Linked DNA regions of Kluyveromyces lactis. The protein of the gene in region 2 interacts with the protein of the main gene of each other region in a pairwise test. Links are inferred from orthologs where the notes say so. Each region holds a gene or a part of one and is shown on either strand. Other genes may lie near its edges.

What was found. The genes of interacting proteins can lie anywhere in the genome.
Region 1: the proteins of SYF1 (region 2) and CLF1 interact in binary tests that used the Saccharomyces cerevisiae proteins (3 or more experiments, as listed by UniProt). The link is inferred for Kluyveromyces lactis from reciprocal best matches to the Saccharomyces cerevisiae genes SYF1 and CLF1.

What each region holds. Positions count from the first base shown.
Region 1 is NC_006042.1:1,644,239-1,648,146, reverse strand, and holds CLF1 (Clf1p), read right to left. Parts: upstream 2,556-3,908; coding exon 501-2,555; downstream 1-500. Other genes in the region: mRNA splicing protein MSL5, read left to right, coding at 1-399; NEDD8 family protein RUB1, read right to left, coding at 2,910-2,994, 3,096-3,244; MTQ2 (S-adenosylmethionine-dependent methyltransferase), read left to right, coding at 3,502-3,908. UniProt on the Saccharomyces cerevisiae protein: Involved in pre-mRNA splicing and cell cycle progression. Required for the spliceosome assembly by promoting the functional integration of the U4/U6.U5 tri-snRNP particle into the U1-, U2-dependent pre-spliceosome.
Region 2 is NC_006037.1:178,055-182,068, reverse strand, and holds SYF1 (mRNA splicing protein SYF1), read left to right. Parts: upstream 1-1,214; coding exon 1,215-3,611; downstream 3,612-4,014. Other genes in the region: VMA8 (H(+)-transporting V1 sector ATPase subunit D), read right to left, coding at 1-795; AFG1 (Afg1p), read right to left, coding at 3,731-4,014. UniProt on the Saccharomyces cerevisiae protein: Involved in pre-mRNA splicing and cell cycle control.

The DNA.
Region 1 (3,908 bases), on a different chromosome or scaffold from region 2:
TCTCTGGCTGCAGAAAATTCAACGTCTGGAATAGGTATCACTGAAGGAAACTTAAATATTGCTACTCCAGGAATGGCACCCCCAGGTTTATCTCCTCCCGGAATGGCAGCACCAGGAATGGCAGCACCAGGAATGGCAGCACCAGGATTGGCAGCACCAGGATTGGCAGCACCAGGATTGGCAGCACCAGGATTGGCAGCACCAGGATTGGCAGCACCAGGATTGGCAGCACCAGGATTGGCAGCAGCACCAGGCAACGTTCCTCCAGGATTAATGCCCCCAGGATCTGTACCGACAATGAATGCACCTGGGCTTACCCCTTCTACGATATCAACACCCAGTTCGATACCGTCAAACCAGTTGCCACAAAGTTTTACCGATAATGAAACGAATAATTAATACAATTCGTATTTTTTCTCAATAGCCTATATGCCAACCTGATTAAATGCGTGTTCTAAATCTACAATTGTATTATCTGTATATGAATATAAAGTTACATATCAGCTGGAATTTTTCTCCCATTGTTTTGCCAAAGCTAGAAGATTTCGAGCAATAGGAGGTTGAGCAACACGATCGTCCGGAAAATCCAATTTATATGACTCTTGCTCAATGTTATCGATAGTAACTTTTTCCCTAACCAAACTTGGTTGTCTAGCATTGACCTTTTCCAAAGTTTCTTGATTACCATGAACTTTCTCATACTCCAGGAGAGATTGTAAAACTTGCTGGCGTTTCTTATCTTCATTATGTTCTTTGAAATATGAAATTGCCTTCTCAAAAATAGCCCTGGTGTGATGCTTATTCTCAGGTGTAATTTCAAAACTGAACTCCTCTTCGCCATCGTCGTCAAAATTCCCGTCTTGATGAGATTGTTGATAGGCTATTAGTTGGGTCTCAGTTGGAATAGTGCTCTCGAAAAGCGCCTGGTTTATCCATATGTTCACGTCATATCTACTCAAAATCAAATACTTCTCGTACAACTCTCTAGCCTTTTCATATTCTGCTGCATCAGTTTCAAAAGCGATATAGCGCTGAATGACAATCAGCTGGTCCGATTCAGATAATCCAACATTATTGCTCATGGAGATATCATAGATCCCTCTTGATCTATCTTCATCTCCTAAATTTTCTTCTAATTCTGCATAATCCAACCATGATTGCACTGAACTAGGATTGAAATCGATGTATTTCTCGTATAGCTTTCTCACTCTATCAAACTCTTTTAGCCTTATCTCCAAATTGATGTAATATTTAAACACTTTTGGCTTGGGGGACTTTCCTAAGCTCACACCCAGAATTTTTCTTGCTTTCAGCAAGTTGTTCTGCCTAATTTCGAATTCTGCATACATTATCCACAGTTTACCGAATGTAAACTTCTTATGTGGAATGATGTCGAGGATGTCTTGATAAACCGAGCGTATCGTAGGCAAATCATTAATGGTGAGCTCTAGATAGACCAAGTATCGTACGCAGATTCTTATGTACCTCTTCCAGCTCGAATCCTTTACCAGGGACTTCGGCTTTGCCAATTCAATGAACGACTGGAAAGCTGATGTCAATTGCTCTTGATATTTTTCCTCAACCAGGTCAATATAGACCCACCAAGTAGAATAATGATAGGGATCTGATTTTAGATATTGCTCGTACTCGGCTTTCCTTTTAGCGATTACTATGTCCTCCATATTTTTCGAAGAGCCGAACTTCTTCTCGAACTGAATCTGCTGTTCCTTTAATGCTTCAGAAATTGGCCATCTTTCAACTGCTAGTCGGTATAACGTTCTAGATCGTTCATACTCTCCCTGAGAAGCTTCCCAGGAAGCGAAGCTACCAATAACTCGTTCAATATCTACCAGTGGTGTTCCGCTGAAACTTGTGAGTGTGTCTAGCGCGAATGAGAACACTGTTCGTACGGATGATATATCTCCATGAGTTTGTTCAAAACGAACCCATTTCAACCAGGTATCTATTTGAGGATGGACTAGAACAAACTTCGAGTAAATGTTCCTGACATTTTCAAAATTCAAGCACCTTGTTTCGAACTCGATGAAGGAGTCCCATGCATCGGGACCAGGTTCAAATGAACACCATCTTGTATAAATGCCTCGTACAATACCCTGATTTCCCAAAGATTCTTCCAATAAAAGATATTTGAACCAGAGCTTATCAACACGAGGAAGAGCGTTTGTTGCTCTGTCTAACAAGTTCCTTGCATGGTTGATATTTTTCCATTTGATTTCACTGTCGATGTATTGAATCCATAGTGGAATAAACCCATGATCAACAAGAAGAGCGCGTTCATAAATGGACCTAGCTCTTCGTATATCTTTCTGATCAAATTCAAATTGAGCATACCTCATCCATTGACGAAGGTCTAACCTATTTCTTTTCAAAACTGTCTCATACTCTGTTCTTTTCCTTCGTTGCCAGTCTTTCAGTTCTTCCAAATCTAATATATCTGCCTTCGTAGTAGCTGCAATCTGCTTCTTTTGGCTAAAGGCATCCTTCAAAATATTATCGGCAGTGATGGCTTCATTGGATAAACTATTGTCACCCATGTTACAGTATAGTCAGGTAAGTTATCCGTGTTTTTCTTACTTTTGTTTGCATCGTTGTCGTTAAGTTCATCTGTTTCTACAATTATAATGTTCGCACTAAATTTGATATCTGAATCATTATGTATTTATAAGGTTCATTCATGCATACAAGGAAAAGCAACAAGCATGTGTTACATCCTTCCTTTGTTTGATAATTGGACGGTCGTGTAAATGTAAATTATGTCATTCATAGTGTTAGCTTCCAATAATTATAGTCGTTTTATTAAATGCAGAGTAATTCCTCCAGGTATTTATCTGCAAAATACTTATACACATACGTATCTTGAGGTTTCGCAATGCAATGACACATGGCTCTCAACAACCGCCTCTTAAAGTTAGAACAAGATGTAAAAGAGATCCATCTTGCAAGTCGGCACTGCCGATTGTTGCGTTATCATCTCTGATTTAAAGATAGCATTACTTACTAGTTAGTAAAAGAGTCCCTACATTAATTTGATATCAAACTCTTCTCAGTTCTGAATTATCAGTTAATTAACATACATTTGTTTGCCCTGGAAGATCAACTTCTGCTGTGATGGTGGAATACCCTCTTTTTCTTCTAATAGCTCTTTGATATGATAGACCGTTTCTGAACTTTGAACATCTACGGAGATTTCCTTCCCTGTTAATGTCTTGACCTTTAATTGCATCTTTCTCAACCACAAACAAGCAACTGATTGTCGATTCTCTGAAAATGGTGATTAATAGTTGTATCAAACAGTAGACTAGTTGTTAAGCTTCAATTTAATTACTTTCTTTTAGATGACCTTTTGCATACGTTATTGTTCAATATCAACTTTTCAAATACAATATTATATATGCGATGACTTCCATGTTTGAAAAGATACAGGTGCAGAACAGATATTGATGCGAGCTATAGCTCATCAGGGCTTAGGATAACAGGGCGATGCTAGCTACACCATACGTCTCTTATGATTATAATAAAGTATACGAGCCAAGCGAGGACTCTTTTCTTTTATTAGATGCATTAGAAGCTGATCTGAGTTGGTTGAATAACAGGTTCAATGACGCAGTACCATTGACTATAGAAATTGGTTCTGGTTCTGGGATAGTCTCTACGTTTCTTATGCAAAATGGTATACCAAACGCCAATGGACTTTATTTGGCAACTGATTTGAACCCTTGGGCATTGGACGCTACCTTAGACACTTGTTCGAAGAATGGTTGCAAGAATAGCCATTTTGATGTATTACAAACAGACCTTACGTCTTCAATAAGGGAAAATGAGGTCGACCTGCTTGTCTTTAATCCACCATATGTACCTGCAGAAACTGTACCAGAACTGCCTCATTC
Region 2 (4,014 bases):
AGCTTCTACTTGTGGGCCAGATTGTTCTTCTTGTTCTTGTGTGTCGGCAGCTTCTACGCCAGTTTTGGTCGCTTCTTGAGAATCTGGTTTACCTTCAGACTCAGCATTTGCTTCATCTAATTTCTTCTGCTTCATTTCAGCATCCAACTGAGCAGTTTGAATCTGTTTCTTTTCTTGCACTTTCTTCAATCTATAAAACTCTTCTCTATCCAATTCGTCTAGCTCGGAGTTGATATAAGCAATGGTGTTTTCCGTTCTTGGAATGATCACATGTTCAATGGCATTCACTCTACGGTTGGTAACTTTGATAACTTCGTCCAAGATAATGAAAGCCGTTTGTAACGAAGCCAATTCAACTAGTGTTTCAACAGCCCTTGAGTAAATTTCCTTAGCACGCTGAACTTGTTGACCACCACGACCTAGACCTGTCATTTTGAAGTCGTTGATGTTGGAGTCGATGAATGATTCAAATTGAGGCAAGTACACACCACTCACGTTTTCTTGCGTGGCCCTAACTTTGAATCTTGCATTGGCAACATTCTCTTGAACTTGGTACCCTATATTTTCACCTGTAGCATATGTGACCTCCGCCAAAGAGAACGCAGCTGTTTGCATCACTCTGCCCATCTTCTGCTTTGAATCATCTATTCTTTTAGTGATATCACGGAATCTCTTCGTTAATGCTTCAGACTTTCTCTTCAACAAAGAATAACCCTGATTAGCACCCTTTAACTTAGTCTTCATAAGACCCAAGGTCATACGAGTGGGGAAAACCTGTTCCCTATTACTAGACATTTTTCGATAAAATTCAAGATGCTAGGAGTGAAGTCGTTCCTTCCTTGCTGTAATATGTTATCAGTACGCTTAGTACCAAACTCACCTGATTGGTACAGTAGAAAAACAGTTCTTTTCAAAGAAAAAGCAAACGATTACAAGTAAATGTGTTCCAGGTTGGATACTTGTCAGTGCCAGCCTAATTGCAACGTTCTGCCCCAGCTGATATATGCCCCCCTTTTCTACCTTTCTTTCGTCAAATGATTGAATGTCTTATATTTCAGATATTTTGAAAATTGGTTAATTTCGAAATTTAGATATTATTTCATTTACGGTGATATGTCAAAACGTTTAATGAGATGAGTTACAATTAAAGCTCCATCTAAGGTAAAGTTAGTGCACTGTTTTTCCACCAGGTACTGCGAGAGACATATGTTTCGATGGAAATAGATAAATTTGTCAAGGAGGAAGATATTCCGTTTGAGTATGGTGTTGTTAGAGAAAGAGACAATGCTGTATCATGGTCGAGATATTTGGCAACTAAAAGATCAGCAGGCGATGAGTTGAATTTAGATTGGCTATACGAACGTTGTTTGAAGGAGATCAAGGACGACTGGCATCTATGGAAAGAGTTCTTGAAATGGAGGATAGAATTATTGAACGATTGTGATATTTTCAGGCACAAAGATGAATACAATAAGATATCGTTACTATTCGAACAGTGCTTAACATCATGTGGCAAAGTTGGGGATGCATGGATTATGTATATGGAATGGGTAATACAGTTTAAGGATTTGAAGAGGATTAGAGAACTGCTTGGAAAAGCGCTACGATCAATGTCGTGGGAGTACCATGAAGCAATATGGCGTGTTGTCATCGATTTCATTATCAATGAATTGTTAATAGACAACAAGAGGTATGAACTTTCTTTAGAGGATTCCATCTACTATTTTGTTCACGGAGAGCATTCGACGAATTTTGATACAGACCTCTGGTCTTCCTCAATCCTACAGAGATATTCACTTATTTGTGACGACATAGAGCCTTTATTGATCTACATTTTTAAGACTCATGATTGGAGCACGATCGTTCGAGTATTTGAAAAACATCTATCACCTAATTTAAAGCCATCTCAGACAAGTTTATTTGAACTTTACGTTAGTTACATCACTTCAATGATTCTTGTGGATAATTCAGCAGGGGTTGCTGCGGTAGTGGACCAATGTATCGAATTATTCCCTTTCAAGAAGGGTGAACTTAAGACATATTTGATATTTAACCTGATACGTCAAGGAAAAATAACGGAAGCTGAGCTGTACTTAGAGAAAGTTATAAGCGAAACTAAAGACATTATCGAATTTTCTGTATTATATGATTTTTGGATTCGTATGGAGGAGCTATTGACCCAAGAATTAATTCAAAAGATGAAAGACGATAATTCAGAAAAGCAACGGCTGTTCGCAAATATAAGACTACATGCCGACACTCTAACCTCATTAATAAAAAACCACACTATTAGATTAAACGACTTAGAATTGAGGCGAGAACCCAACAACATCAAATTGTGGCTAGAACGAGTGAAGCTTTTTGATACCATCTCTGATAAAGCTAAAGTTTATGCAGATGCTGTTCTTACCGTGGACTATAGACTTCAGACTACTCCAGGGCTATTAGGAGAATTATGGTGTCAATATTGCAGACTTTTTGAAGAGGATATTGAAAAATCCGAGGTCTTGCTGGACAAAGCCACTAACGTCCCTTTCAAATTTTTAGTAGATCTTGAAAATGTTTGGTTATATTGGTGTGAATACAGACTAAAAAGAAGCATTGACGATGCCATAAAAGTTTTGTCCGTTGTATTAGAAATACCAGATAATCATGAATTACTCCTACAAAAATTTGAGAAAGGAGAATCGCCAGCACAAGCAGCAATTTTCTCATCTAAACGCTTATGGGCAATGTACCTTGACTTATTGGAGGTCAAAGGAAACTATGGTACAGCTGTAAATGCGTATGAAACAGCAATACTCATCAAGGCAGCAACACCAGCCATGTTTATTAATTATGCGTTATTAAATGAATCTTCTGGCCATCAAGCAGAAGCTTTGGCTGTTTTCGAAAGGAGTGTTGAGATTTTTCCTCCAAGCGTATCGAAGTCTATTTGGGATATATATCTGGATGTGGCACTCAAAGCTGATATCACTAAAGAGCAAAAAAGAGATATTTTTGAATCTGCTATTAAGCTTGCAGCTTCAGGAGTGGCATGTGTTTCGTTCTTTGAAAAGTACAGCGACTTTGAGTTAAACCTTGGTTTCCACGAGAGAAGTGTCGAGATTTTGCACAAAGGAGCCAAGAATATTTCGGATCTTGAAAGTAAATGTACTTTATGGGAAGAATGCATCAATAGAAGTGAAAAACAATTGGACGTCAATCACACCAGAAAACTATATGAAGAATGTATAGAAACATTGCCCAATTCTAAAGCAATCAAGTTTCTACTTCCATTTGCTATCTTAGAAGAATCGCGTAATGAGGTTGCTCGTTGTAGAGCATTGTTAGACTACGGGAGCAAATTACTGAAGCCCGCACAGAATGAAGAACTTTGGGATTTCTGGAGGAATTTCGAAACTATGCACGGTACAAAAGACTCGTTCAAGAACATGCTAAAAGCACGTAGGTTCCTAGAGGACACAATGAAAGTAAATACAGAGGAAGTATCCAGACATGCAGATAGCATCGAATTTAGGGCGTCAACTGCGAAAATTAGTGGAAGCGGACCACCAAGCGCAGAAGATAAAGGATACTCAAATACGGCTGAAATTGATTTAGGTCTATAAAATGGATATATATTGATTAAAGTTGATAATGGCATATCGATCAATCTCTTATGTTTTGTTTTGGAAGATGTCGTATTGTCTTTCTTTGATGACGTGTAACATACAAAAACACTAGTATCTTACTGTTTTTCGACCCAATCAGTTGAACTCATGTGGGATAATCTACTTAGGGCTCTTGCAAATGCAAACCGTTCTTCATCTAATGCGAAAATCTGTGCTTTTTTGGCAATATCCTTAGAAAATCCGTGTTTACTGACCAATTCATCCTCTACTTCAGGTTCATCTTCATGTTTCATTTGATCTGCTGGTTTAAGCTCATAGTCGTTGACAATATCTTCTGGTTCCACGAATAGTGAGGTGAAGTCATCTGCACCAGTGGTAGCTAATTTACCACCGTTATCGT